Linked DNA regions of Cricetulus griseus. The protein of the gene in region 3 interacts with the protein of the main gene of each other region in a pairwise test. Links are inferred from orthologs where the notes say so. Each region holds a gene or a part of one and is shown on either strand. Other genes may lie near its edges.

Evidence for each region.
Region 1: the proteins of Ccndbp1 (region 3) and C2H22orf23 interact in binary tests that used the Homo sapiens proteins (3 or more experiments, as listed by UniProt). The two-hybrid records come from large-scale screens. The link is inferred for Cricetulus griseus from reciprocal best matches to the Homo sapiens genes CCNDBP1 and C22orf23.
Region 2: the proteins of Ccndbp1 (region 3) and Ccdc146 interact in binary tests that used the Homo sapiens proteins (3 or more experiments, as listed by UniProt). The two-hybrid records come from large-scale screens. The link is inferred for Cricetulus griseus from reciprocal best matches to the Homo sapiens genes CCNDBP1 and CCDC146.

Annotation. Positions count from the first base shown.
Region 1 is NC_048595.1:376,255,027-376,265,073, forward strand, and holds C2H22orf23 (UPF0193 protein EVG1), read right to left. Parts: upstream 6,874-10,047; 5' UTR 6,731-6,873; intron 6,571-6,730; 5' UTR 6,562-6,570; coding exon 6,459-6,561; intron 5,247-6,458; coding exon 5,184-5,246; intron 3,755-5,183; coding exon 3,572-3,754; intron 3,052-3,571; coding exon 2,923-3,051; intron 2,691-2,922; coding exon 2,590-2,690; intron 2,465-2,589; coding exon 2,393-2,464; 3' UTR 1,961-2,392; downstream 1-1,960. Other genes in the region: Polr2f (DNA-directed RNA polymerases I, II, and III subunit RPABC2), read left to right, coding at 6,995-7,014, 9,824-9,893.
Region 2 is NW_023276806.1:173,198,841-173,208,787, reverse strand, and holds part of Ccdc146 (coiled-coil domain-containing protein 146), read right to left. Parts: intron 8,214-9,947; coding exon 8,125-8,213; intron 8,043-8,124; coding exon 7,878-8,042; intron 6,802-7,877; coding exon 6,577-6,801; intron 4,966-6,576; coding exon 4,737-4,965; intron 524-4,736; coding exon 395-523; intron 1-394. UniProt on the Homo sapiens protein: Essential for sperm flagellum biogenesis and male fertility.
Region 3 is NC_048599.1:57,419,954-57,429,900, reverse strand, and holds the end of Ccndbp1 (cyclin-D1-binding protein 1), read left to right. Parts: intron 1-801; coding exon 802-883; intron 884-3,049; coding exon 3,050-3,143; intron 3,144-3,298; coding exon 3,299-3,372; intron 3,373-3,952; coding exon 3,953-4,029; intron 4,030-4,334; coding exon 4,335-4,612; intron 4,613-5,710; coding exon 5,711-5,771; intron 5,772-6,186; coding exon 6,187-6,233; intron 6,234-6,462; coding exon 6,463-6,577; 3' UTR 6,578-6,976; downstream 6,977-9,947. UniProt on the Homo sapiens protein: May negatively regulate cell cycle progression. May act at least in part via inhibition of the cyclin-D1/CDK4 complex, thereby preventing phosphorylation of RB1 and blocking E2F-dependent transcription.

The DNA.
Region 1 (10,047 bases), on a different chromosome or scaffold from region 3:
CCTTGGGAGGGAGTCCCTGCATGAGCTTCACCCTCCTTAGGGCTCTCCAGATGGTCTAGGCTAAAGTTTTTTTTTTCCCTCTTCCCTATGTCCCAGACAGCTGTGACTTAGCCCTGTCCACTTGGCTTCTGACTCCAGATGCTGTGACAGGCCCAGGGGCAAGCAGGGATGCAGGGTCTGGGCAGAGGCAGTGGGTCTCCTTGGTCCTCTGAACCAGGCCAGATGGAGTCTTCCTTATCAGTCCTGCCCAAGGCAGGCCCCGGCATAGGGCTTGTGCAGCCCAACTTCCTCCTTCTCAACCCTGACCCCTAGTCCCTGCCTTGTCTAACACAGGTGCCCTTGAAAGTCATGTCCCCTCACCCAGGAGCTCTATGAAGTCTCAAATTCTGGCCCCTCTGTGAGTGCTGTGTTGTGTCAGTTGGGAATACACTGCTTCCTCTGCCTCCCTCATCTCCCTTGCTCCATGGGACGTCTCAGCCACCACACGAGGACCTGGTAGCTGTGCTGAGGCAGTGACTTAGACTAGCCTAGGAACACGTGCTTGGGTAGGTGCTAACCTTTGTTCTCCAAAGTGTTGTAGTCTGACCTCTGATGCAGGCTTTCTGCCCACCCCATGCACAGGGGATGGACCCATTCCTTTTTGTGGTTGGTGCAGCCTGTCTTTTCTGTTGTCTATTCCCTCCAAGGACTGATGACCACTTACCCCTGGGCGGCTCTGGGAGAAGGGTGATGGGGTACCTCTTTTCCCTAGGAAATATGCCAGGCAGCTTATGGTCCAAGCACTGTTCTTGCTCTTGGGGTCTTCAGCACCCCTCCCTCTGTGCATCCAGGGAAGGAATACACTGTACCTCAGTTGCCAGTGCCCTGTAGCCTTGGGTACAGCCACATCTATGCCCTTATGCCTGTCTGTGCTCCACCTCATGTTCAGGCATCTGGTCACCCCAGGAGGGTCTGGGCTGTCCATGCAGTTGGGAACTTGACCATAGCCGCCTACTATGGGCGGGATTCCCTTCCTGTTTGGGGAGAGGTGCTTGCTCACTCCCATATAGCCCTTGGCAGTCTTTCCAAATGCACTTTTGACATGGAGCCAGGCCCACCGCCTCAGAGGTCAGAGGGGCTCTGTGACCCAGCTGCTGTAACTCAAGGGTGGGCCTCATCAGGAGGCTGTCTCAGTGTCAAGGAACATTTCCATGTCTCAAGGGAACAGCCTTCCTCACAGAAGTCACCTGTACTCTGTGAACGTGGGCCCAGGCTTGCTAGATCTTGCCCACTTTTCAAAAGAACCCCAGAATCCAGTTTTTGTACTGGCATAATTTATAAATGCTGACATCAGATCTGAGTTTGCCACACTGGGCTACACTTGTCCTGGATTTTCTAGTGTTTGAGGCCTGTGAGGTGGTAGGCGTGTCCCTACTGACCTGACCCTTATCTGCTGGCTGTTGCATAGTAGCTGTGTATATTCTTGGGCAAGAAGACAGATTGTATGTTTTATTGGGATTATGGGAGTAATGACAGGTGCAGGAAATAGAGACTGGAAAATGATAGAATACTAGTGCAGGTCAGGCTGATCAGTGTCAGCAGCCTGAAGTCAGTCAGTTGCGGGTGACATACCAGGTGGGGAGCAGGCTACTTTCCTTCAGGTTGGGGCCTCAGAGGCACTTGAAAGGAACTGGAACCAAGGCTGTGGCACCTGCCAGGGCCCTTTCAGTGTGGATCCCTCTGTTATGCTTCTTCCCATAGTCATGGTTTGGTGGAAGCCATGAAGTTGACCTCTAACCCTGAGTGGCCTCCTTTGCAGTAACTCCAGGATGGAGTGTCTTGGTGAACCTGAGTTCTCACACTGCAGTCTTGAGCATCAGCACTGACTGCAGGCTGATCAGGAACCTTGTTTCCCTGTTCCTCTGGAAATATGCAAACAGCAGTTATAGACTTTATCTCTGTGGAAACAAGGCGGAACATGTCATGACCAAGTTAAATGTGTTTTATTGGCCAATTAATCATTGTGGTCAAACATTTGCCCAAGGCTATAAGAAGGCAAAAAGTAGATCCTAAGATATAGGAAGGGCAGAATTGTGTTCACAGAGCACCTGGCAGCCAGCTGTGGCAGGAGGAGAGCCAGAGAAAGGGTGCCCTTAGGCAAATGTCCAAGGTGGTGAGCCTCGGTGTCAACGTGGTAGGTCTGGGGCTCTTTCCCCTAGAGAAGGCTTCAACACTGGCTGTGACAGTAGCTCAGGGGGACCACTGAGGCCTCTGCATCCCTGGGCAGTGTCTTGTCTTGTGCTCCAGGACAGTGCCACATCATGGTGGCCCCTGTGGGTGGGCAGACCTGGGGATGACATTGCTTGTCAGTCATGCTGCTCTGGTGGTCACATTGGGCTGGCCCACCCTTGGATTAAGTGGTGGCAAGAGCCTTCCTAAGCTTCTCACTCCTACTGCGGTCAATTTCCTCCATTTCCTGTAGTTTCTGCAAAGGGCCATCAGGAAGAACTGCTGTCAGGGCAGGCCACCGTGGTGGGAGCTTGCCACCTGAGAGGGCTAGCCATAGTTCTGGCTGGAGCTCCTCTTCCCCACTTGTGTGGGCTCTCTTACCTGGGAGATTTCAGCCAGTATCATTCCTCTGTATTGCTTGCCCTGTCCAAGAGCCTCCATGGCAGCCAAGAATTCTTTCCTGTCCTGGATTTCCTTCACCACTGCACAGAGGGGAAGGGTTATCAGTGCATAGGGCAGTGGGCATACACAGGGGCCCAGGCAGTGCATGGTCTCTAAGGGAGAGTGGGGGAGGGTCTGTATCAAGTCAGCCTCATCAATTCTACACTCCACATGCACACACAGACACGCACACACACAGACGCTCGCGCGCACACACACACACGCACACACGCACACATGCACACACGCATGCGTGCGCATGCGCACGCTCACATTCTTCAAACCGGTCCAGCTCGGGAGCTGGGTCCTCTTGCAGCCCATGAGGAGCCCTTTTCCGTTCCTCTATGTCCTTCCCATTGGCAAAGATGTTTTGAAGTCTTCGTTTCTCCTTCTCCAGATCTCCTGTAGGGCCCAGAAATGGTCTTGTTAAGGTGCAGAGCAGCTGTTTCCCTTGTCTGTGCACACTGCAGGGTGTCTGGGTTGAGAAGAGTGGGCTGCTGCAGACCCAGCCCCTCCCCTGGCTGTTCCTGAGCAGAACATGTCAGGTTAGCAGTTGAATATCTCAGTGCAGAGCTAAGAGAGAACCCAGAAACACAGGCCTCTGAGGTGTCCTGTGGGGGGGGGACTGTAGGGATGTTGGGGGGTTCTGGGTCAGAAGCACTGTTAGAGGCCACAGGAGGGGCTCCCAGATGTGGGCTCCAGTGCAGAGGAAATGGACTTGAGGGGCTGGGAAGATAAGCAGTTGACAGCCATGTGTCTTTCTGGGATTAGGAAAGCTGCATTAATTTGAAAACAGCCATAGGAAGATAAAGAGGGTCACCTGCCTGCGTTTGTTACCCACTACTGGAATGGTGCTGTCTGTCCCAGGCTGCTATGACCCCAGAAGACAGAAGGGAGCACCTAGCCTAAGCTGGTCACATACTGGTGGCCTGAGGCTTGAATTGTTCGCGGCTGTATGCCCCATTGGCTTGACACATGCTCGCAGGCCGGAGGTGGGAGTGGGTAGCCAGGATGGGAGGCAGGTAGGTGGCTGTAGCCGGCTTCTTGGAAGGAGAACCCCTGTGGCTGGATGTTGGGTCGCACTGCAGGGGCAGAGGGGCTCCTCCTGGGAATAGAAGGGCCAAGTGACAGCACCTGTTTGTCTTTCTTTTCAAAGAAAAATGGTGGCTTCCAGTTAGAAGTCAAAGCGTGGACAGTCTGGACCTCTCAGCCTGCTCCTGGGCAGGCTGTAGGAACAATTAGGTGGTTGCTCCTCGTTCTTGATGCTTCTAACACACATCCAAGGATGTTTTGTTTGGTATGTTACACATATGGTTCTTAAACACTGGATCATACCATATGGTCAACAACAGACCCTTTTCACTTACAATTTATCATGACCAACTTTCCATAAAGATGCATTTATATGTAACTTATTTTTTTATAGCAATGTATTAGTTGTTAGAGTGACCACACTATTTATTCAGCCAGTCATTCAGGTTCTCTCAGTTTTTTTTTTTTGGGGGGGTGGATTTTTACTACTTCTGACAATGCTGCAATAAACATTCTTATACATTGAGTCTTTGGCGTGGTGTTTTTATTTTGTTTTTTTAGCATGCGAGCACGAGAGAGAGAGAGAGAGAGAGGAGAGAGAGAGAGAGAGAGAGAGAGAGAGAGAGAGAGAGAAAGAGAGAAAGAGAGAGAGAGGGTGAGGGGACAACTTACAGGAATCAGTTCTCTCTGACCATCTGTGTTCTAGGGACTAAACTCAGATTGTTACACTTGGCAGCAAGCACCTTTCCCTGCTTAGCCATCTCACCAGCCCTGTGTTTTGGTTTATGCTTTTTTTAGAGGCAGGGTCTCTATCCAACCCCCTATAGAACTAAAGATGACTCTAAACTTTTGGTCTTCCTGCCTCTACCTTCCATGTGCATGGGTTGTAGGTATGTGTCACTACACGTAGTTGATGTGGTTGGTGCTGGGTATGAAATCCAGGATTTGGTGCATCTAAGACAAGGGCTCTACCAACTAAGCCAAAAACACAGCCCAGGTTTTTTGTTTTTTTTTTTTCTTCGTTTTTTGTTTTTTGTTTTTTTGAGACAGGGTTTCTCTGTGTAGCCCTGCTGTCCTGGAACTCACTCTGTAGACCAGGCTGGCCTCAAACTCAGAGATCCGCCTGTTTCTGCCTCCTGAATGCCGGGACTAGAGATGTACATTATCAAGTCTGACTTTGAAATAAATTCATCTCTGTCCTTTTAAATAAATTCCCCTTCCCTTTCATACAGAGGAGCATTAAAAATATATCCTTGGATGCCAGGCGTTGGTGGCGCACACCTTTAGTCCCAGCACTTGGGAGGCAGAGGCAGGCAGATCTCTGTGAGTTCAAGACCAGCCTGGTCTACAGAGCTACTTCCAGGACAACCTCCAAAGCCACAGAGAAACCCTGTCTCAAAAAAACAAAAAAACGAGGCCAGTGTGGCCTCCAGAGCGAGTGCCAGGATAGGCTCCATGTATCCTTGGTTCCTCTGCCCAGGAAGTCTCTTGAGTGACCTTACTTTTCACGGTGTCCATGATGTGTCGTTGCTGAAAGTTAGTCAGTCTGGACTCCTTCATCATCACTGTAAAATAAAGCACTCTGTGTCTCAGCATGTCTCACCCTGCCTGAACCCCACACTGTAGCTCTGCCTCCCCAACTCTCAACTAAGCACTCATGCTCTTCTGCTTGTTTCATTTTCTCACTTGACACTATTTATAGCAGAGGTCTTCCTGAGCTATACCCCAGCTCTATAATTTTTTATATAAATAGGTGAATAAATAAATAGAAAAGGAACAATCCCTACCCCCCCCAAAAAAAAAAACACCTATACTGTTAGCTATATGAGAGCAAGAATGTTTTTTGTTTGTTGCAATCCCCTTAACATTCTACTTCCAGTACTTAGGATAATATCCAAATCACATATTAGGTTTTTTAGTTGTTGAATAAATTAATGTATTAATGTTCATTTACATATCAGAGGCTGAAGCCACAATTGTGAGCAGGAACAGGCACTTTGTCTGGTGTCATTCATCATTTAGAAGGTGATATCTGGGGGGTGCTGAAGAGGTGACTCAGTGGTTAAGAGCACTGGCTGGTGGGATTAAAGGTGTGCTCCACTACACCGGGATTCATTCCCTCTCTTCAGTATGGAGATTAAAGGTTTATGCTACCACGCCTAACTAAAGTCTGTTGCTACTTACAATATTTGGAGTTGAAAATAGAAAAATAACTATGTATAAATTAATTAAACTTATTTATTTTTTAAAGAGCACTGGCTGGCCACGAAGTGGTGGTGAACCGCCTTTAATCCCATCACTCTAGGCAAAGGCAGGCGGATGGATCTCTGTGAGTTCGAGGCCAGCCTGGTCTACAGAGTGAGTTCCAGGACAAAGCTACACAGAGAAAGCCTGTTTCAGGGAAAAGGCATTGGTTGGCTGTTTTACAGAGGACCTGGGTTCATTTCCCAGCAGTCTCTAACTCCAGTTCCAAGGAAGCTGGCACCCTCACAAAGACATACTTGCAGGCAGAACATCAATGCACATAAAAATAATAAATCTTTAAAAAAAAGGTGATAGATGGGAAACTAAACGCCTATAAGAACAATATATTGTGCTAAGCCCAGTGAAAGGAATTGGATCTGATACTGTGTGAGAGGGTCTTACTGTGTGTGGTAGGGAGGAGATAAACTTCATTGAAAGTGCAATGTAAAGATGAGCTAACCACTCCTAAAGTTGCCGTCCTTTGAGCCTTTCAGAATCCCAGTCTCCTATCGTTGTTCCTCTAAAGCACTGACCTCTGAGCAGCTCGCAGGTTCCCGGCGTGTAAGCGAGTTGCTTACCGCAGCGCTGGAACCCGGTTCCATTGCTCACTGCGTCCACCCTCTCCTGTGAAGCCATGGGAGGGCCCTAGGAGGGAGAGAAGCAATAACCAGCCCTCCTCGTGTCGCAGTCCCAACCTCTCATCCCCAGCGCCCTGGGCGTCTGAGAAGCGGGTGCCCGAACCCTCGGCTCCGGACAGCGCAGTCACCACAGTCCCCATCGAGATGGTCCCGGGCGGAGCGCTTACCCTAACCGTGACGGCGCCCTCCTCCAAGAGATCCCGGGGGACGCCAGAGTGTTAGTGCTCGCACCAAGCGCATCTGGTTACTATGGTAACTAGCGTATACACCCCACGCACACGCATTAGCGACTCGCCTTTGGCTGCCTCCCGGAAGTGATTGCCTTTGGGTCACGGCGCAGGCGCAGACCACGCGTAGTGCTGCCGGGGAACGCTGAGGCGCGCGTCGCTCTTCTGCCTTCCGGACCGGCCAGTGCGGGCAAGGAAGGCATCATGTCAGACAACGAGGACAAGTGAGCGCGGGCTCGGAGGGGAGGAGGTCGTGGTGCGAGCGGGGCGCTTGGAGCACAGGCTAGCCCAGATATTAGGTCTGTTGGGCGAAGTCTTCTAAACTTCCTACCTCGCGGAGCAACGCGGAGCAGCATGCACAGTTAAGCCCGTGTAGCCCGTGCCCTCCGGGCACCCCCTTTCTGGAAGGGAACGCGGGTAGTGTAGTTCGTTTAGTCGTGGAACTAGGAAGGAGGAAGCAATCCAGAGGATGGCCTGGAAGGCTGGGAGCAGGCGCTGGTTTAGTGTTGCTTGGGGCAGGGTCCCACTCTGAAACCCAAACTGGTCGGGAATTCACTATGTAGCTAATGCTAGCTTTGAATGTGCCACAGACCCAGCTGAATTTTGGACATATATTTTATTTATTTGGAGACTAAATCTCACTGTATACCAGGTGGTTCGAGTTTAGAGATACAGCCCGGTGGTGGTGGCGCACGCCTTTAATCCCAGCACTTGGGAGGCAGAGGCAGGAGGATCTCAGTGAGTTCGAGGCCAGTTTGGTATACAAAGCGAGTTGCAGGACAGCCAGGACTGTTACATAGAGAAACCCTGTCTCTAGGGGATAAAAAGAATTTAGAGGTCGTCTACTTCTGTCTTCCAAATGGTAGGATTAAAGTGTGAACCATTGTGTGTGGCCCCTGGTACCCACACACACACACACACACAAAATCCTACATGTATATGAGAGAAAGAGATGGTATACACATATATCTGGAACACTGCGATTTACAGGTATATGCTACCATGGGCAGCTCCTAGATATATTTTATTTATTTATTTATTTTGAGACAAAGGTTCTGTACATAGCCCTAGCTGTACTGGAAGTCACTGTGTAGACCAGGTTGTCCTCAAACTCACAGAGATCTGCCTGCCTTTTTCTTATAGCACTGGGATTATGCCTGGCTCCTGATATATTTTTAAAATAGAGCCAAAAGGATTTCCAGATGGGCTGTATGTGTTAGGTCATAAGAGAAGATAAACTGTGGGAGTCCTAAAATAGATATAGTAGCCAAAACTCGGAAGCTGGGTGTGGTGGGCTCACACCTGTAATCCTTGCTTTGGGGAAGCTAAGGCAGGAGGATTGCCATGATCTTGATGTCAGTCTGTGCTACTTATCAAGTTTCAGGGCAGCCTGAGTTACATAGTGTACAGAGTGAGACTCTGTCTCAGAAACAAGCAAAAATACAATGAAAGCAAAGCAAAGATGGGAGTGTTGACCAGGGTGGTGAGTGATTGGGGGAGTGGGGGGGTACCCAGAAAAGGCTGAGGAGGAGTCCCACACCCCAAGTGTGAAGCAGGAGGGAAGAGCCAGGTGTGCTAGCTGTTAGAGGAAGGTGAATGAGAGTGGGAAGGATTAGCAACAAAACGATCATTAGTGAAGTGGTGTACTTTGGAGGCAGAGGCAGGAGGATCTCTGTGAGTTCAGTCTGGTCTACAGAGCGAGTTCCAGGACAGCTAAGACTACACAGAGAAACCCTCTCTCAATCAACATCCCCACCCCCCAAAAAAAGATGATCAGTCTTTTTTTTTTTTTTTTTTTTTTTGGTTTTTCGAGACAGGGTTTCTCTGTGGCTTTGGAGGCTGTCCTGGAACTAGCTCTTGTAGACCAGGCTGGTCTTGAACTCACAGAGATCTGCCTGCCTCTGCCTCCCGAGTGCTGGGACTAAAGGCGTGTGCCACCACTGCCCGGGCGTGGTGGAAGTCTTACTGAGGTGAGATTATGGCCGAGGAAAGAGAAGACTTGCAGACAGTGAGTTTGGGCAGCTCCTTCACAGATTTTGTACCATAGGAGGCTGATGAGATTGATCCACATTTGAAGGTGCTTACTGTACAAGCCTGACAACCCAGGCTTGATCCCTGGAACCCGGAGGTAGAAGGAGAGAATGGGAAAGGTTGTCCCGGTGGTATGTGTGGGCCTTCGTGCAAACACATATCATGCACACATTAACCATAACTAAAAATAATTTAGAAGCCTGGTAACCAGAGACCATGAGAATGACAATGTCACATGGGCCTTATTTTTTTTTTACCCTCCCTCCCCCCATTATAAGGGAACAAACATGGAATTAGGCTGTAGCTGGAGGAAAGAGAATAATGTGGTTTTCTCAGAGGTGGGTGGGGTAATGGTGGTGACGCTTTGCTCCTGGGAATTAATGCCCAGGGATTTCATGCTTGTTGTATATACCTCCGGCCATGAAGTAAATTTTGTTTGTTCTTGTTCTTGAGACAGAATCTCATTATGTAGCCCAGGCTGGGCTTAAATTCCTGAGTCTTCCACTCCCAGTGTCCAAATGCTAGGAGTACAGGAGTGTGCCATCACACTCACAGATTTACGGCTTTCCCCTCATGATAGGGCTAAAACTATGTTGGTGACTGGAGGGGTGGCTTAGTAATTACCAGCACGTGCTGCTTTTCCTGGGAGTGAGAGTTCAGTGCCCATCACCATGTTGAACAGTTCCAGCCACGGGACTTGATGCCTCCTTTCTGGCTTCCATAGGCGTACATTCACACACACAAACATAAATAAACCTTAAAACATAAATCCCCAGACCAGAAAAGTACATGTGCTGACTGAAGTAGTTCACAGAGAGAAACATCGATGACAAGTCCTAGTAAAATTTGGGGGCAGATGGGACAAGATTGAAGGTGTAAAGTGAAGCCAGAGTTTGATTCCCTCATCAAGATTTGCTGGTCCCTCCTACATCACAGCAGAGACCCCAAACTGTGTCCCTGATTCTGGCAGGTGATTCTAACCACCAGTGTCTTCTGGCTTAGTTTCGACGGCGATGACTTTGATGATGTGGAAGAGGACGAAGGACTAGATGACTTGGAAAATGCAGAGGAGGTTAGTAGCCATCCTCAGCTTCCTGCACTGCAACCTGGAAGCTAGACAGTGAGATGGTGATGTTTGCCAAAGGTTTCATCATTCCCTTTCCAGGGATGTGTCTCCTGCAGGTACACTTCGCCTTTGCCTAAGTGTCACCTCAACTAGGTCTTAA
Region 2 (9,947 bases), on a different chromosome or scaffold from region 3:
CCATAGACACACTGCTTTCTTAGCTGCGAAAAACCCTCTGAACAGCCCCCGATTTGGGCCATGTCAGGACACCTTGGGGAGCTCTTCTGCTGTGGGCAGAACATGGCCCTCTGCCTCTCTAGGGTACCCACAACGCCTTTCTTTCCAGGTGTTCCCATTAGGGTGACAAATTAGCATATTCACTCAAGAAGTCAAAATTAGTTATTGGGCTAGGAGAGAAGGAGGGTACCTTTGAATGTTGAAACTACTGAATCTTTACTTGCTTGGGTAAATATCTGAATCAAAGTTAGGATTTAGGACGGCTTTACAACTAGGGCTAGAATAATGAAGTGTGGGTCCGCCAGCATAAGGGGAGACAGAATTGTAGCATCTGGAAGCAAACAAGCACGTTTACCATATCCAGTTTCTTGATCATTTCTTCTTCAGTCAGATCTTTCCCTGGAATGAAGCGGATTCTGCTCTTATTGTCGGGATTTACAAACTGTTCCTCCAGGTCTTTTATTCTATCTGCACACTGTGCAAACTGTTGAACAAGAAACACATGTCAGCTTTAAATTTAACTCCATAGCATAGTAAATGTCAAATCATGCAGGCAGGATCTTTAGCTCCTTTGTGGAACTATCCAGATTGTGTGTGGAATAGACCCTGCATGGGAAGGCAGTGTCTGTCTGTCTGTCTGTCTGTCTGTCTGTCTGTCTGTCTCATAAGAGAGATGGCTGAATTCCTAGAAGCCTTTTCATTGCTTACAACTGTGTGGTGTTCGTGAGATGCTGTGTGGTCAAGTGCTCAAAGCAGTCTTGGCTGTTTCACTGCAGGTGTTTCAGAGACTGGACAGCTGCCATGCAACAAACTGCATTCCCTTGGTGGCAGTGGCTTCAATGACATCCTAAAGAAGGAAGTTAATTACCAAGTCAGCCCAGCTAATACTCTGTGAGCAACAGTCTCAGCCACTTGTATGCTTTTTGTTAAAGTGCCTTTGACTAGATTATAGCTGTAGAATCACTGAGACATGGACATGGGTGGCACTGATAAGAGCAATAGTCACACAGTTTTAAAAGGGGAGAAGTGAGCACAATGATAATCCAAAGACCTTGTCTACAGCTTCCCTGCCATTGTGGGATTGCTTTTCAGGAACTTTTCGTTTCTCAGTTGGCAGATGGCAAGATGAGGCTTGATCCCAGGGGGTGAAACAATAGACTTTAGTACAGTGGTACTCAACCGTGGGTCACAGCCATTAGGGAAACACACATTTCCTATGCTCTTAGGAACTGAGAGACTGCTCTGTAGCAAAATTACAGTTATGAGATAGCAGTGAAAAGAACTTTATGGTTGGGTCACCACAACATGGGGAACTGTATTAAGAGGTCACAGCACTAGAGGGTTGAGAACCACTGCTTTGGGGCTTTAGAACACAGCCAAGAGCAACACAGATAGAACTTGAGAATTTTAATTGATGGCGCTCTTCTCTATAATAAGAATTTAAGTGCTGACGCTTAAAAATAGTGACAGAAATTATTAGTAACAATGTTTCCTTAGCTAGGAAACTAAGAAATAAAAATGATACTTTGCCCCTAGAGGGCTGGACAAGGGCCTCATCAGTGAGAGCATGGGTGCTCCTGCAGGAAGCCTGGATTTGGGTCCCAGTACCCATGTGGCCGCTACAACGACCTGTAACTCCAGTTCTGGGGATTGGATGCCTCTTCTGATCTCAGTGGCCACTAGGTGTGCATGCTGTGGACTCTTCCATACATGCAGTCAAAATACTCAGACAATAGCACATGAGATTTCCAGGATTCCTAAGATGGGGCTGTTACTACAAGGTCCAGGAGAACATGATTCATGATAACCCTTGGGATTAGTCTCTTGGACAATTAAAAGCTGTTTAAAAATAACTGAAAAGAAAAAAAAAGCAATCTGAAAATGATGCAGAACAGGGAAAACAGGCAAAAGGAAACAGCTAACTCAGAAACACCAGGGTGCCACAAGAAGCCAGTCCTGGAGGGCATAGTGCAGGTGTGGCTTGCCCAGAGCTGGGCATTTCCAGGCCCACAGTCGGTGCTGGTAAAATTACATATCAAGTGCAGCCTGAAAATGGATGGGTGGCTTTCTATACACCTTCTCCAAAGCTAATATATGGCCCACAGGTCTGAATTTATGTGCAGCCATGATGATACAGGCTTGTTATCAGACATAGCATATAGTAAACATTAATATATGTTTAATATATAATATATAATATATATAATATATAATATATATTACATATAATATATATTATATAATATACTATATATATAGTATTATATATAATAATACTATATTAATATAATAGTAACTATAATATATAACATTAACATAGTAGTCACCTCTTGTTAAACTGGAACTCTTACTACGCAGTGGGTAGTTGATTATTTCTAAGAATGAGTACCTTTTTATTAAAGCTTCTGAATTATGTAAAAGTCAAAAATGCACAAAGAAGAGAATAAACTTCCACACACTTGTCTCTCAGCGCCAGCAGTTCTGCAGCACAGCTCTTTCATCTCCGCACACCTGTAGGACCACTTTAGCATCCATCCCACACATCATTCGGCTTCATCTGCACAACTCAGAAGCGGCCCATTTTCTGTTTTCTTTTATTTGTTTGTTTGTTTGTTTGTTTGTTTGTTTTTTCTGATATAGGGTCTTATTGTGTAACCCCAGCTGACCACAAAGTCATAGGATTCTCCTGCTTCACCCTCTCACCACCACACCCAATTTAAAACATAAGAATTTAAGACAAAATTTAACACAGTACCATTTCTCATATAATATATTAACAACTCTTTTATATAGTTCTAATTTCTCCTCTGTTGCATAAACAGAGCAGCACTAATGACTATAATTTGATATGGTTGGCCAAGTTTCTTCAATAAATAATTAAAAATGAAAAGGAGGAAAGTGGGGCCATTGCTAGATTTAAAGTAGTTTAGTAGACATACCAGCCAAATGCAATAAATGTAAGAAGAATGGTTGGTTTTGTCCATTGGATATAAGGTTTGCAGCTAACCTGAAATATATATGCTTATGTGATGGCCAATCTGGTCTGTTCGATAGCAGATGAAAACCCCTTTTGTTGGACATGGTGGCATTCCTCATAGGCAAAGACAGACAGGAAGCTGATACTGAGAAAGCTGGAGAGAGCAAATGATTCTGGAAAATGGGGTGTGCTAAGTACAGTATCCCTGAGGTGCACTGCAGGGTGTGAGGCCCAAAGGCAAGTGGGGTAGAGATGTTGGAAAGCCTAGCTGTGAAACACAGAGCACCAGGAGAGCCCTGCGCAGGGATGGGGTGGCCCCAGACAACTCTGAGGCCTAGGGTTTCTGAGGTCTAACATGAAGCTCTTTGCATATCTGGAATGCAGCCTCACACAGTGCTCTCGAGAGTGTGCCGTGAAATCTTTCAGGGGCTTTGCATGCATGCTGGTGTGTAGAGTGAGGAGGATAGCTATCCATGGCATACCCTGACAGATCACAGAAAGGGAGCAGGTACTGTGTGCAGGCTGGCCAGTTTTTGGAAGCTGGAATCAGAGCCAGGGAATAATGGGGAGATTGTTCCGGAGCCTTGATGGGGAGCAATCCAGTCAATTGATCTAAATGGGAGCAGTTATGGCTAAAAGTCAGGCAAGCATGGTTATAAAAGACCCTGATGTAGCTGCACGATCTGGAAGATGCTATCTGTTGTCTACGTAAAGTTTACCTATGCCGATGCATTGAAGTGTGGAAGCAGACCCTGTATCCAGTTCTACAAATCCTTTGCATGAAGTTAAGTGAAAAACTGAAACTAAACGTATACTGAGAGAGGAGACTTGCTCTCAGATTTCTGACTATTATTCTTGGGATAGAATTCCTTTTTCTTTAACATTTTATTCTTTTTTGTAAATCTTAATTAACTGAATACACCATAATTTAATAACCAGAAAAAAGAATCCAAAAGCGGGTGACTTTAGAATACAGGGTAGAATTTATCCTGCAATCTTGAGTCAGTGGGGAAAAGTGTATGTCACAAAGATGTTGGTCCAATTTTTTTGGTTCATAAAAGTATTCTTACATTTGAAGAAAGCAGGCTTCTCGTCACATTTTAGTCTTTGCTACTGGGGGGACCACAGAGGTTTGTGAAGAATCTGTGTGTGTGTGACTGCAGACTGAGAAGCAGCAGGTCTAAGCATGTCACTCTTCCTCTGAGCATCAGGCTCTCTCTGGTGGCACTTCCTGTCATCTCTGTACTCAGCAGGCTGAGACAGGGAGTCTGCAATCAGTCTGAAATGCCTGGGCTATATAGGGGTATCAAACCAACAAAGGCTACAAGACCCTGCTTCAACAAGCCAGAGAGACTAAATGTTCTATCTTGGTGGTCTCCAGCAACATTAATGGCAGAATTAGGCTGCAGGTAGTGAGAGCCTAGATTACCCTGGGCAGAGCTATAGGAATGATGAACTAGGGCTAAATCCCGGGATGGCCCAGATTCCAAGAAACACAGACAATGCTGCATAAGATAAAAACAAACAAATCTGTGTAGCTCAGATTTCCAAAACTCGATCCTGGAGCAGTGTTCAAAGTCGTCTTTAAACATCATACAGCTCGTAATTACCAGAAGTGGTGAACCTTGGCTTCCATGCAAGAACCCATATCGTCTGCAAACTAACAAGGGGGAGGAGACGAACCAATGGCCTGGGGACGAGCCCCTGACCACTTACTCACCTGGATCTGGAGCACGGCCAGGTTGGCATCAAGGGCCCTCTTGGTGGGCAGTAATTTCTGTGTCACACAAATTTGCCTTTGCTTCTCGGCAATCTTCAGTCTCAGGAACCGGAGTTTTTCTTCCAGGACACGGATCTCAACATCTCCATTAAGTTTCAACTTCTCTTGGATATTTATTTTTTCAAAAAAAATGCACACTTCCTCCTCTCGTTCTATGAGCTGAACGCCACTGTGGTCAAATTCAGAGCAGGGGTCTAAGTGGGTGCTGAGGCCTCTGTTTCCTCGTTACTGTGGTTCCCTCTGGCTTTGGGCTCACTTATACATCAACACAGCAGAATTTCAGAAGACAGGGCGCCATAGACTGCCAGTTAAGTGGCCCACACCAGATTTTCCTGGGGTTAAGAGAGTGTTGGAATCTCCATTCCAAGGCCAGCTGGGCAGCAGGACAGCCACAGTGGCTTGATAAGCCCCCAAAGTTTCCCTAGGGTAGTGGAAGTCACTCCCAACATGTGAAAGAGGAAAATCCAAGGGTTGTTTTCTGCACATCTTTTTTGGGGGACCAGACTTGCCAAGCAAGGCCTAGGCAGAAGCCCCAGGAGATGGGCCTGGGAATGTGGCTCTGCAGTGAGTTGCCAGGCTCGTAAGGACATTTGAAAAGTGGATGTCCCGTCACCTGCCCTTTGTAGCCTGGCTGACGGGTGCAATGGGAATACCTCTCCTCGACAGGAGGCCACTGGAGAGAAACAAAGTGAGATTTTTCCCCTCATCAACACTGGTCTAACCAGGGACTGGGAACACTCTATTTATCCATAAGCTTAGGCTTGTGCCAGGAGCTACATAGGATTTTTTTGTTTTGTTTTCTGTTTTTGTTTTAGCCCAGAAAGAACACTCATTAGCCCTTTGAAAAAGTTCTGTTTGTCAATGACCCTAAAGATCCTCCCGCTCAATCTGTATATCTGTTACCACAACTGCTACCCTTAATTTTTCTAAGTCTTTCCTTCCCTCCAAGAGTGTGCATGCAGTTGTGTCTGGTGGCCCTCAGGTCTCCATCCGCTTCATTGGTTTTTCTGTTGAAGCTGCTCATTATCGCATCCATCCCCTTGATGACAAATGCCAACAGCAAGGTGTTACTATCCTGTACCCTCAGGGGCTAGCACTCCAGTGCTTTACAAGAAATACCACACCAATTTCATGAAATCTGAATTCTTTCTAGACTCTGCCATCTCAGCTACCAATGTCTCATAACTCAAGCAGCTGCTGTGGGTGGGGCTGTTAAGAGAGTAACACTGTTAAAGACATGCTTGATGTCTGGAAGAAACAGGCCACTCTTCTAAGCCTTACTTCCTTACGGAGGAAAACGAACTAGGAGACTGGGTTGACAAGGCCCTTACGACGTGGATAGATGTTCTAGAGACTGGCTCACATCAGGTGATTCGGAGTAATTCATTGCCATCCAAGAGCAGTGGTTCTCGACCCATGAGTCATGACCCCTTTGGAAGTCGCATATCAGATATCCTGAGCATCAAATATCAGATTCTTGCATTGTGACTCATAACAGTAGCAAAATTACAGTTATGAAGTAGCCACACATGACGTTTTGGTTGGGAGCCAGCTCAGCATGAGGAACCGTGCTAAAGGGTGGTGGTGTTGGGAAGGCTGAGAACTGCTGTCCTAGTATCCCAGAGACTCTGATCTTTCAATGTCCCAAACCCTCCTTTTAGTTTCCCTCCCACAGACGGCCTGTCTTGTTTTCATGCACAACATCTGTTGTCTGTACCTTTCACCTGAGGAGGGCACTGAGCCTGTACCTTTCACAGCCTGAGCCGTCTGTGGTCCATACCTTTCGTTGCGCCGCTGGACGGCCTTCTCATACTTCTTGCGCAGCAGCACCATCTCCTCCTCGATCAAGGTGATCATGCTGGCCAGCCTGTCCATGCTGTTCAGCTGGGCCTCCTTCTTCTCCTTCATTTCCTGGAGTTTAGAGGTGATTTTGCACACGTCATTCTGCATGCTCTCCTTGATGGTCACATTGTTGGAATGCTTCAGCATGGAGTTTTGCAGCTTTCTTTTAAAATAAGGCACAGTGGGGAAGAGCATTATTTTCTTCAAAAAACACTAAAGATGTCTGAAAAACAATTTCTAAAAGTGTGTCTTCTGAAATGACAATCACCACACCATGCTTTCAGAACTTCATGTCGACTCCTCTGTGGTGGAATCCTCCCTCCAGCCAGATGAGGATACTGTCGTTGTGTCAACCACTGTGTCGTGGTCTTTTGTGAAAGGGTCCTTTACTGCTCTCTCATCTCAGGAGACTGTTCTGAGGATAGTGGTGCGTCTATTGACAATGCCTTTCGGGTCTCAGGCTAGGAGCATGGGTCAGGCTGGATGAAATCACAGCCTGGATGTGGTATTTTAATTTCCTTTCAGGTAAGTATCTGACCAGGAAATTTCTATTTCCAGCAAGGCTTTTCAAATCAGTGTATTTTGTATTATCGTTCTCAAAGTCAACTGGGCAGTAATGGCCAACAGAAAAATCCATTTATGTATTCTCAGGCAGTCAGGAACTAATGAGGTGAATGAGTCCAGTAGATCTTGACATGCAATAAATGTTCTTTCTGGTATTATGACATAGGTGGACTCATTTAGTAACAAAAGGTCCTACACGATTATAACGAGGATTATGTGTTAGGAAAGACATCAGACAAGTCTGAAGAGTGGCCCCACAGATAGTAACCAGAGCTGTGAGTTTAGTCTAGAAAGTGTTGCTCTTAGCAATTCTGCTCTAGCCAACCCACCTGTACAATATATGCTTTAAATCTACAACCAGGGACACTACCTAAAAAAGTCATTTGTCTTCTAACATCAAATGCAGGTTATCAGATTTATACTTTCTTTTTTAATTGAGCAAATGAATACCAGCAGATCGACATAGGAAACAGTATTATGTTAGAGTTTTGCATTTGTTGAAACATGTGACTCTTGCATAGAAAACAAGAAGTGTGCCTAGGTGCCTGTGTTGTTACTCGAGAAGCAACGTGTGTGACCAGGCTTTCCCATCTTCTGTGAGCACCAGGACCTTCTGGAGTGACAGAGACACAGAAGACAAGGCTTTGGGAGGACTCTGGCTGTCATGGCTCTTACCTTTCTTGAGAGATAGCACTGTTTCTTAAAATTTCCAGTTCATTTAGTGACATTTTGTGCCTTTCCCTGATTTCATTCACTTTCTGGTGAGCTTTGTGCAGGAGGTTAATAAACTTGTTCCTTTCATTTCTGATTGTGTCATACAGTTTGGCAAATTCTTTCAGTCTGTGGAAACACGGTTTTGAAAACTGAAAACTAAACACCTTCTCCCCAATCAAGTAGAGAAGTCATGACCAAATTCTCTTACCTCCGGTGAATTTCACGCTTTTTCTTCTTGTACAGTCTGATTTCAAGGTCCTTTGCTTTGATTTCCTTCATGACATTGGAATGTTTTTGCTGCAAGGTAAAAATTATGTGTGAAATAAAGAGAAACAACCAGAAAGCTGAGTGTGGTGGTTCATGTCTGCAATTCCAATGCTTGGGAAACTGAGGCCGTAGGACTGCAAGGAATTCAGGATCAGCCTGTGATACATAGTAAGACCATACCTCAAAAACCCCAAATCAACAGCAGCAACAACAACAAAGCTACAATGTAAGAGTACTCCTGCCAAACTCCACTCCCATCTATTAATCCTTCCTAGCCTGCTGGGCTGGAACGATGAGGGGGACAGGTGAGAGTTGAGAGCCTCCTGGCCAGCTGAAGTGATTACCATCAACCAGGAGAGTGTTACTTAAGACTCAGGAAGAACTAGAGAGGGTAAAGGAGCCTCACAGACAAGGGTGGGAACCGGGGTCACTACTGAGAGAAGAGTGACTATAGCCTGCACCTCCCAGCCAGGTGAGCATGGTGTTTACAGAGGTTGACGAGGAGTACTTATAGGAAGTTTTGACAAATGTCGTGACCTGAACCCTCTATGGCGTTTGTGAGACTGAAGCAATGGCTTTAAGGTGCAGTCCCATCTTTTTGTGTTTGGTGGATGTATTTTCCTTTATAACAGGCACCATGTTGAGACTGTTTATAAATAGATATACTAAATGGAAATGTTAAAATATATGTAATATAAATATATTAAAAAGAAAACAGTTATGCCTTTAAAAATCCTAAAATATAATATATCAAGTGCTGGATGTATCAGTGATGCTATGTAGATAGAAAATGCCTGGTGGGACCTGTCTCTGGGATAGGAAGCATTGGGGGACAGTCTCTGCTGGTAGCATTTGGGGGAGGGCAGTTTCAGTCACCCTCTATTGGGGCAGGCAGAACAAAATCATTTGGCCTGGTGGTGCCAAGGCAGAATGGATACACATTGAATTTACTTCGTATAACTTTCAGTGAAAATGGGAGTCAACAAGCTAACCTTTAGGTGACTGTCCATGAAAAGAATAAAGCAGGTGTAAGATGTAGCATAAACTATGCTGTCTTGTGTGTGACAGCAACATCACCATGAATCCCTTTCCCAGACACCTTATATATATTCTTAAAAAGAGATGTAGATATTACATAAATTAAGAAGATTGAACTGCAACCAATGTTTCAAAGAGTAATTCCCAAAACTGAAACACTCGAGGGACAAACAATATTTTCCCTTATGGTTTCCACATCTCAAAAAGAACTGTCTTATGCTTTATTATGAATAAGCTCATTTAGCAACCGTTTAGCTTATGTAGATTATTGTGTTTATAACATAAGGATAGATACAGGTAACAAAAAGATCAGATTTTGGGATCCATTAGAATTTGTCTACCTTGTAAAACAGACCAGCTCTTTTCTTGGAATAACAAATTACACCTCTAGTATACCTAAAATTTCTAAAAGAGAGGAAGTTTTCTAAGTAGGAATCTCACAGAAGCAGACTCTTCCAACCACAGAGGAGGCTTCTGACAACACTGTACTGTTAACGCCACCCCAGACCCCGACTTTGGTGGTGATGACCTTCTCAAACTTAATCTGCCCCCCTTGTAGTCATCCTTGTCTCTTCAGATTCACCCCTAGCTCATCTGTGTTCTATGAGTCCAGTGATGCCAGGGCTCCAACTCCTAAGAGGCTGTGCTCTTCCTTATCTTTTTTTTCTAAGAGCCCAGTGATCCCTGGGCTACTATTCCTGAGAGGCAATGCCATTCCCTCATCTG
Region 3 (9,947 bases):
TGCTGGTACTGGGATTAAAGGTGTGTGCCACTACTGCCTGTCCCCTGTGTATCTTAAAACAATGGTTTTCAAATTGTGGGTCACGACCCTTTTGTTACGGTGAGACAACAGGCGTCATAATAGCAGATATCTAGCATATCAAATATTTACATTATAATTCATAACATTAGCAATGAAAATATTTTTATGGTTGGGGCTACCACAACATAAGAAACTGTATTAAAGGGTCACAGCATTAAGAAGAACCACAGTCTTGAGCAATTTGGCAGTAAGAAAAAAAGATAAATTGTATGACAGCAAGCAAAGACGTAGTAATTGCCTGATTCAGTAGTTGGGCTGTATTCAACAAAAGACCAGGTGCTGAATATTTTAGGCTTTGTAGGACAACTGCTTAACTCTTCCCTTGTAATACAAGTACAACTGTTAGATGCTTGTAAATTAATGAGCATGACTGTGTCCTAGTAACACTCCATATATAAAACCCACCAGTGAGCCTAGGGGGAGCCTCTGGGCTATAATTTGCTTCCTACTGGTCTAAGTGCAGTGATTATCTCATGGCACAACATGATTGCTTAAGATATTAAATAGCAGAAATGAGGTTTTCCTTCATTTTGTAATGCTTTTTTGAATTGTCTGGTATCTGCCTAATTTCTTTCTAGTGTGGGATGAGTACTCCATAGGCTTTCAGAAAATATTTGTTCATGTTTTATAGGTATTTGATCTCTTCTTCAGTAAATAGGCTGACAGCATTGATATTGAACATTTGCTCTGTTCATTCTGAATTTGTCCATCACCTCATAGGAAACCCAGAGGATCTGTGAGCAAATTCATGTTGGCATCAAGGAAATTATTGAAGTATATTATTCACTTCCTAAAAATCAGGGTAAGTCACTGTGTATACACAGTAGTGTTGCATTTTATAGGCTAGATCTTTGCTATATGTAAACATTATTTATCTTTTTGTTTGTTTGCTAGTTTGTTTGTTTTTCGAGACAGGGTTTCTCTGTGGCTTTGGAGGCTGTCCTAGAACTAGCTCTTGTAGACCAGGCTGGTCTGGAACTCACAGAGATCCACCTTCCTCTGCTTCCGAGTGCTGGGACTAAAGGCATGCGCCACCAAAGCCCATCGTAAACATTGTGGACGGAAGTTTCTGTCCCACCCAGTACTGCAGTTGTTTAGTACCAAATAAACACACAGAGACTTACATTAATTATAAACTGTTTGGCTGATGGCTCAGGCTTCTTATTGGTTATCTCTCTCTTAATTACTAACCCATTTCTATTAATCTATCTCCATGTAGTTTTGGCTTACCAGAGAATGCCTGGGCAACTTACCTTCCTGATGGCTACATGGCATCTCCCGTGCCACCCTCTGCTTTCTTCTCTCCAGAATTCTCCTAGTCTGGTAGCCTTGACTATACTTGCTGCCTGTCCATTCGCCAAAACAGCTTTATTCACTAACCAATAAGAGAAACATATATTCACAGCATACAGAAGGACATTCCCCATCACATTATTATATATGCTTATCGTCAATGTATTATTATATATTTATTTATAAACATATTATACATGTCTATTGTCTTCAGTTTTGAGCATGTGACTTTTTCCCCTAATATACTCAAAGGTCATTTTATAATGTGAGTGATCTCATAGCAGTCTGTTATGCTAAAGTACAGATGCTGTGCACCTGTGGTTTCCTATTGTTACTACTTTACCTGATTCTTTAAAAGGTGTGGGTGTGGGTGATGTGGGTATGTAAAAGGGTCTCTCATTCCATTGTGGGTTCCTGGTGTTAAACTCAGATCATCACACTTGTGCAGCAAGTTCTTTTGCCTGCTGAGCCATCTCCACTGGTTATTTTTAAAAGTTATTGTTTATGTGATGGGTATGGGTGTTTAGCCTGCATGTGTGTCTATGCACCACATGCATGTCTGGTCCCTGCTGAGGTCAGAAGAGGGTATCGCTTCCCCTGGAACTGGAATTACAGACAATGTGATCTGCCATGTGGATTTGGGAATTGATCCTGGGTCCTCTGGAAGAGCAGCCAGTACTCTTAAGTGCTGAAGCATGTCTTTATAAAAAACATTCCATTATTTGTGTCTGTGTGTGTGTGTGTGTGTGCACACACATAGGTGCATGTGTGTATTCAGGTGCTCACAGATGTGCATGTGAGTACGTGTAGAATCAGTGCCTTGTGTTTTGAGAGAGTCTTCCTTGGAGTTCACTGATTGCCCAGGAAGCCTCCTATCTCTGCTTCACCAGCACTGGCATTATAGGAACACTCCATTTTGTCTGCCTTTCTCATGTAGGTTCTGGGAATTAAACTCAAGCTGTCATGTTTGTGTGACTGACGCTTTATCAAATAGGCTGTCTTCTCAGCCCCTAATTCACTTTTCTTTCTTATACATGCTTGCTAAATCCCAGCTCCATACCCATGCCAAGGCCATCCCTGTCCTCCTCCACCCTGCATTGCATCATACTCTGTTTGTAGACTCTTCACAAGTTAAGTGCCCACTAGCCTAGCCTGTAGATTTCTACCTTTATTGAAGTTATGATGAGAAAATAAATGAAAACATGTAATAGTTCATCTGGGTTACTTACAAATGCTTTAAACTTACAGTGTTTTGTCCACAATTATCAAAGGACCAGTGTCCTTAATGAATGAACACACATGGAAAGAATAAAACTGTTGGAGAAGAACTCTAAAGAATGGCAGGAGGAGCCGGGCATTGATGGCGCACGCCTTTAATCCCAGCACTTGGGAGGCAGAGGCTGGTGGATCTCTGTGAGTTCGAGGCCAGCCTGGTCTACAAGATCTAGTTCCAGGACAGACTCCAAAGCTACACAGAGAAACCCTGCCTCGAAAAACAAACAAACCAACCCCTGCTGCCCCCCAAAAAAGAATTTAAGACTTGAGTCTTGCACTGGTATGTGCTGTAAAGTATGTATGTATCTGTTACCTCATATTCTGTAACACTTAAGAATCCAGAAAACAAGTTGTGACATGAGAAACGACCAGGCTACTTACTGTTTGGGTTTGGCTACAGGGATCACCCTGAGAAAGCTGGTGCGGAATGCTACTTTGGACGTTGTGGATGGCATGGCTCAGCTCCTGGAAGTGCTTATCTCTCCATCTCAGAGGTATCAGTGCCTCAGTGTGGGATGGCAGTTAATTGGCTTCCTTGACTCAGGGAGGAAAAATTGACCCTAACAGTCAAGTTATATATTATCCCTCATGGCAGACAATTTTAGGAGACTGTGGTTATTGATGTGTCCTTATTAATTCCTTTTTCCAGCACTGAGAACTGTGACCTTATTTCCTGCAATAGTGTCTCGGTAGCATGCCAAAAGGTGTCTGAGATTCCAAAAGGTGGGTAGAAGTAAGCTGGCTGAAGCAAAAAGGCCTCTCATATCCAGCTTCCAGCTTTGCCTTACATAACTAATTTCTATAAAGATTTTAAGTGAAATAATACATAGTTTATTATCATCAATATATTGACTTTGGTACTTTTTGCCATTCTTCATACTGGTTTTTGGTTTGGTTTGGTTTGGTTCTGGCAGTGCTGGGGATTGAGCCCAAGGCATGCCATCCAAGCGTCCTACTGCTGAGTGCTGCTCTTTAAGTTCAGACGCTTCTTGCTGTGGCTCTGTTTCTCGTTGAACAGATAGAGTTTGCTTTCCTGTTGCTGTCCCAGGAGTAGCATCAGAGAGCACGCTAAAAGGGTTATAAAGCAGAGCCAGGCAGATGACTAAGAGTAATGTGATAACAAACACCATGAGACAGTTTTATTTTTTCTGGTGGTGAAATTAAAAGGCCTTCTAATCCTGTGTCCAGGCAGAGAGTGTAGTAGAAAAGTTTTACTTTAAAGCAGTGTTGGTTGTGCTTTGCAGTCTTCAGAGAGAGATAGATTTCTTTTCTAATTCTAGTGTTTCTGGTTTTTCACTCACAGATAACAAGGCTGCAGCCCTTTTGATGCTGACAAAGTGTGTGAATTTTGTGAAAGATGCACATGAAGAAATGGAGCAGGTGAAGGCACTTTCCTATCTTTCCTGGTCATTGGAAAGCAACTTCATGACCAGTCGATGAGAACTGATCATGAAGACAGGGAGTCCCTGCAACTTGATTGAATGATCCCAGTCTTACTCCTGTCCTGTCTTCCATCTCCCACTGTCTTCTGTCTTGTATCTTAGTACCACTTCTCCGTTCCTCTCCGGACAAGAAGAAGGAGAATGTGGTTTGTAAATTGGTTGAGTTTTGTAGTAAGTAGCAAAGCAGGTGACTAATGATGGTGGTGGAGTGTTTGCATTTACATATATGATGCTATATCTTAGGCTATAGAAGAATGTGATCCTTACTGTGGACTCTTGAATGGTTCTGAGGACAACTCTGACAGCCATAATGATGAGGATGATGTATTAGGGCTTCCAAGTAATCGGGACTCATACTGGTCAGAGGAAGATCAAGAGCTCATAAACCCGTGCCTTGCATTGGTGAGAGCATCCAGAGCTTGCCTCAGGAAAATCCGGACCTTAGTGGCTGAGAATGGGAAGAAGGATCAGGTATCCCAGCTGGATGACATTGTGGATATTTCTGATGAGATCAGCCCCAGGTAAGCATGTCACACTTACAAACAGGAACATTGTGATTCGAGCTGCTGCCGCTGCAGGTTTCCTTCAGCTTTTTATATTTTGAAAATTTTCAAGCCTAAAAGAAATTGAAAAAGCACTTCAGTAAATAGCTCTACATCCTTTATTTGGATTCTCCTAATCACCTATTTCCTCTGTATATTTATTTCTTGATAAATAGATGTGATATGTTTTTTTCATTTAGGACATAAATAACTTTTTACCCTTAAATATTAGTAATCTCCTAAAAACAGATATTCTTGGAGTCACATTCAAGAAATTTAACATTTGATGTAATAATAATATCTAATACTTAGATTTCTTTGTCTCAAAAATGTCTTACATAAATTCTGGGTATCATTAAGGTCTCTTACTGCATTTGGTTGGCATCTGTTTAGTTACTTGCAATTTACAATAGTCTCCGTCATTTCTAGTCCGGACTTGACATTGGCATTTCAGAATTACATATTGTAAATACACAGCAATTTGGATTCATAAGATTATTATTATTTTTTAAGATTTTATTTATTTATTATGTATACAACATTCTGCTTCCATGTATATCTGCACACCAGAAGAGGGCACCAGATCTCACAACGGATGGTTGTGAGACACCATGTGGTTGCTGGGAATTGAACTCAGGACCTTTAGAAGAACCTCTGAGCCATCTCTCCAGCCCCCCCCCCCCAAGATTATTTTCTCATAGAAAATAACTTGATGTTAGTTTTTCTTGTGGTAATAAATTTGGTCACATGGTTAAAGTAGTGGCCTCTTTAGAAGGGTACCTTTATCTAACCTGCTTAGCTTCCATTCATGAACCCTGGCAGTGTCACTTACTATACTGATGGTTTCAAATTCTCTTGTCTTTGACTCAGCTAATCATTCCTTATCCTGTGAACCATGGTCATTTTTACCCCACCTTCTTAAATAGAATGTGTTTGTTTCTGTGAACATAGGCTGAATTGCTTCTGCATAGCATACCTGCTTACTCAAATTAAGGAACTGGGTTGGGTGTATACTGGAAACAGTCACAGATCTGTGCCCCCTTTTTGTTAATGGTTATATTTTTCTTCTGCTCTTAGTGTGGATGTTTTGGTTCTGAGCATATATCCACCTGTGTGTCACCTCACTGTGCGGATCAATGTAAGTACTAGCTTTGAATTGGTAAAATTATATTAGTCTCTAGGATTTCCTATAAGCTATAGAGCTCCTCCCCCCACCCCCTCCAGACAGGGTTTCTCTGTGTAGCTTTGGAGCCTATCCTGGCACACGCTCTGGAGACCAGGCTGGCCTCGAACTCACAGAGATCCGCCTGCCTCTGCCTCCAAAGTGCTGGGATTAAAGGCATCTCCACCACCTCCCTGCCTTCCTTCCCTTTTTTAACATGGGTATTGGGAGTTGAGACTCAGGTCTTCATGACTGCACAACACTGAGCCACTTCTCCCACCCCTTTAAAGCTCTTTTTAAATGATTCTCTTATCATTACATGGATCTTCAAGCTCTATTTCTTTTGGTGCCAGGGTTCAGGGTGAGTGACATCTCTCTTTTTTTTTCCTAGTCTGCGAAATTGGTGTCTGTTTTAATAAAGGCGCTTGAAATTACAAAGTAAGTCTGAAGACTTCTCCCTACACGTGAGAATAAAATCGTCTGCCCAACTGTTCTCAAGAACTGACCCCATTTCAGAGAGTTGGGTAGGGGAGCCATGGCTGTGGGTAGGGTGTGGAGCAGCCAGTCTGTGAAGAGGAATGTCTTATTACTGTAGTTTCCTCTCTATGCCTCCTGGTATAGCTTTTCCCTTCACATTAATAATTTTTTTTTCTTCTTTTATTTCCAGAGCAAGTCATGTGACCCCCCAGCCAGAAGATAGCTGGATTCCTTTACTCATTAATGCCATTGATCGTTGCATGAACAGAGTTAAGGAACTCACTCAGCATGCAGCCAACTCATGAGCTTCCAGGCCATTCTTACTCCTTTCTCTTCCTCTCACTCTCACAGCCAAGCTCCAGTGTCTGCTTTTATTTATTTATTAATTTTTTTCCAGTGTCCGCTTTAGAAGTAGAGCTATGATAGGGTGCTTGCTGGATAGAAAGGAAGCTCTTGTCTATATTTCACAAGAGATTGTTATCAAAATTGTAGCCTAAGACATATTGGCAGCTATCTGTAAATCATATGAATATGATATGCTTCTGTGCTAGACACAAAAGAAATTTGCATAAGTTTGTGCTCTGAGCTGTTTCTTGGAGATTCTTAAGGAAGTTGTCCTATTCTCTATTTTACAATAAAGTATATTGTTTTATTAAGATTTTGATGATCTCAATAAAATGCTAATCTATGTGTCTTTTAATGTATCTTTCAAAGTGTCATTTAAAATCTTTTATTGTCACCCAGGCATGTTGGCATACACCTTTAATCTTGACACTTGGGAGGCAGAGACAGGTAGATCTCTGAATTAGATGCCAGCCGTGTATGTGTTGTATGTTCTCGGACAGCCAGAAATCTACAGAGAGACTTAGTCTAAAAAAGAATAAGAAAAGAAAAGAAACAGGCTGGAGAGATTGCTCAGGGGTTAGTACTACAAAAGCTAAATATGTTAGTGTCTTAGGGCTTCTGTTGCTGTAAAGAGACACCATTGATACAGGGTTTCTCTGTGTAATAGCTCTGCCTGTCCTGGAACTTGCTCTGTAGACCAGGCTGCCCTTGAACTCACACAGAGATCCATCTGTCTCTGGAGTGCTGGGATTGAAGGCATGCACCACCATCACCTGGCCCAAGGCAACTCTTATAAAGGAAAGCACTTAATTTGTGTGGGAGAGATAGCTGAGAGTTCTACATCTGGATCCACAGGCCAGAGGAAGTGAATGTTACACTAGATGTTACACTAAACCTGGCTTGAGCATTTGAGAACTCAAAGTCTATTCCCTTCTGAAGCACTTCCTCCAACAAGGCCACACCTCCTAATAGTGCCACTTCCTATGAGCCTTTGGGGCCATTTTCATTCAAACCACCACAGTTAGTTACTTGGGTGTGAGTGGAAAAGAGAAGAAAAAGGCTAAGACTAAGATTAGTATTGGCAAATCAATTCAATCTGCTCTTTGGGAGAGGAAAATAAAAAAGGAAACAGTAAGGAGGACGAAAAAGTAACCCAGGGCAATAACAGAATAGGAGCAAGTTGGCATGCTAAATTGACATTAGGTATTAAACATGGGAGGAATAGATGCAGGGAGGAGAGAGATCTGGTTGGGGATATCAGCTGTGAAAACTGCCCGACCTGATAACCAGACTCAGTCTCATCTCTCAATGTTCTTTCCTCAGTTACAAGAAGTCTGCCTCACCCCTGGAGTTCCTCCATTATACTCTTGTTCTCTCCCAGTGTTACTTTGAATAACTAAATTACAGATACTGGCTCAGTCTGTTCTTTATGGGTGGAGTCTCAGATCCTGGTACATCTCTGTGCCTTCCTTGAGGGTTCTGGTTGCAAAGGCTGTCCCTTCCCTCAGCTGTCTCCATAGCCCATGTTGTTTGGGGTGTGTTGTTCAAATCTAGATGCTGCATCATGAACCAGGCTCTGCCATACGCATTTCCTAAGGGTCCAATGGGTCCCTAGCTTTATGTGATAATAGGAGGGGGCAGAGGATGATGAGTGTTGTAGCTTTCTCAAATTTAGGGTCCCTTACCCCTTCCCTAGAGCTGTGTCATGGATTGTGGTGCTGTTCTCTGCTGGTAGGTTCAGGCAGCATGTGTTGAGCCTCTTCCAAGCTTTTGGGCCATGGCAGCGAAGGGAGATGTGGAAATAAATCTGGCTTCACACCCCTGTAATCATAGTATATGTCTGGCTTGCTGTAGTTAAATTTTTCCTTCAGTCTGAGTTCAACCTCTGATTTGGATTTCCAGCAGTGGGACCCTGTGGGTTCAGAGACCCTGAGGGTGTTTTCCTGGTGGGGTTCAGCTCTTCACTCATCAATAGGCTTCACAGAAAAAAAAAATCCTAGGCTTGTTTCTGCATTCTTGTAGTCCTTTCTCTGGTCTCTCTCTGTGGCTCTTTACTACCTTGGGTTTCTTCTACCAATACTCCTGGTCACCCAGATGCAGTTTCTGATCCATTCCGAAGTTTTGTTCTACCAGAAATGCAATCTGTTAAGAGTAGAATGTTGTTTTTATTTAAGTTTATGACCCTAAAGGTTTGAGTCTGCTCAGAAGTGCATGTAAAATGAAAATACTGATTTTTATTTTAAGATTTTTATTTATTATGTATACAACAACATGGAACAATTCTGCTTCCATGTATATTTGCACACCAGAAGAGGGCACCAGATCTCATAATGGATGGTTGTCAGCCACCATGTGGTTGCTGGGAATTGAACTCAGGACCCCTGGAAGAGCAGTCATTGCTCTTAACCTTTGAGCCATCTCTCCAGCCCCAAAAATACTGATTTTTATATACATAGAGATGACTACAAAGTCCCTCTTGGTGCTGTTATTTGCACCGTTAAGTCCTTCTGAATGTTATTCAGGTTACTCTATGCCTCAAAAGATTTTGGTATTGAGCTCTGTCTTAGTTACTGTTCTACTGCTGTGAAGAGACAAGGCCAAGAGAACTTACAGAAGAGGGCTTGCTTACAGCTTCAAAGGGGGTATTAGTTAAGGTTTCTATTACTGTAAGGAAACACCATGACCAAAAGAAGGTTAGGAAGAAAAGGGCTTATTTGGCTTACACTTCCACACTGTAGTCCATCAGTGAAGGAAGTCAGCACAGAAACACACAGGACAGGATCCTGGAGGCAAGAGCTGATGCAGAGGCCATGGAGGGATGCTGCTTTCTGGTGTGTTCATCATGGCTTGCTCAACCTGCTTTCTTACAGAATCCAGTACAGTGAGCTCAAGGATGGCACCACCCACAATGGGCTGAGCACCCCCCTCAATGAATCACTAATTAGAATGACCTATAGCCAAATCTTATGAGGGTATTTTCTTAGTTGTGGTTCCCTTCATTCAGATAACTCTAGCTTTTGTAAAGTTGACATGAAACTAGCTAGCACAATTGACCTCTTATCAACCTGACATACAAACATATCAAGATCAAGTCATAGCCTTTCCATTATTTGTTTCATTCCCAAGATCTCAGATTAATAAATACCACTGTGGTGGTTTGAATGAAAATGGCCCTCATAGGCTTATAGGGAGTCTTCTATTAGGAGGTATGGCCTTGTTGGAGGAAGTGTGTTATTAGGGGTGGGCTTTGATGTTTCAGATGCTCAAACCAGGCCCAGTGCCACTGTCTCTTCCTGCTGCCTGTGGATCCAGATGTAGACCTCTCAGCTA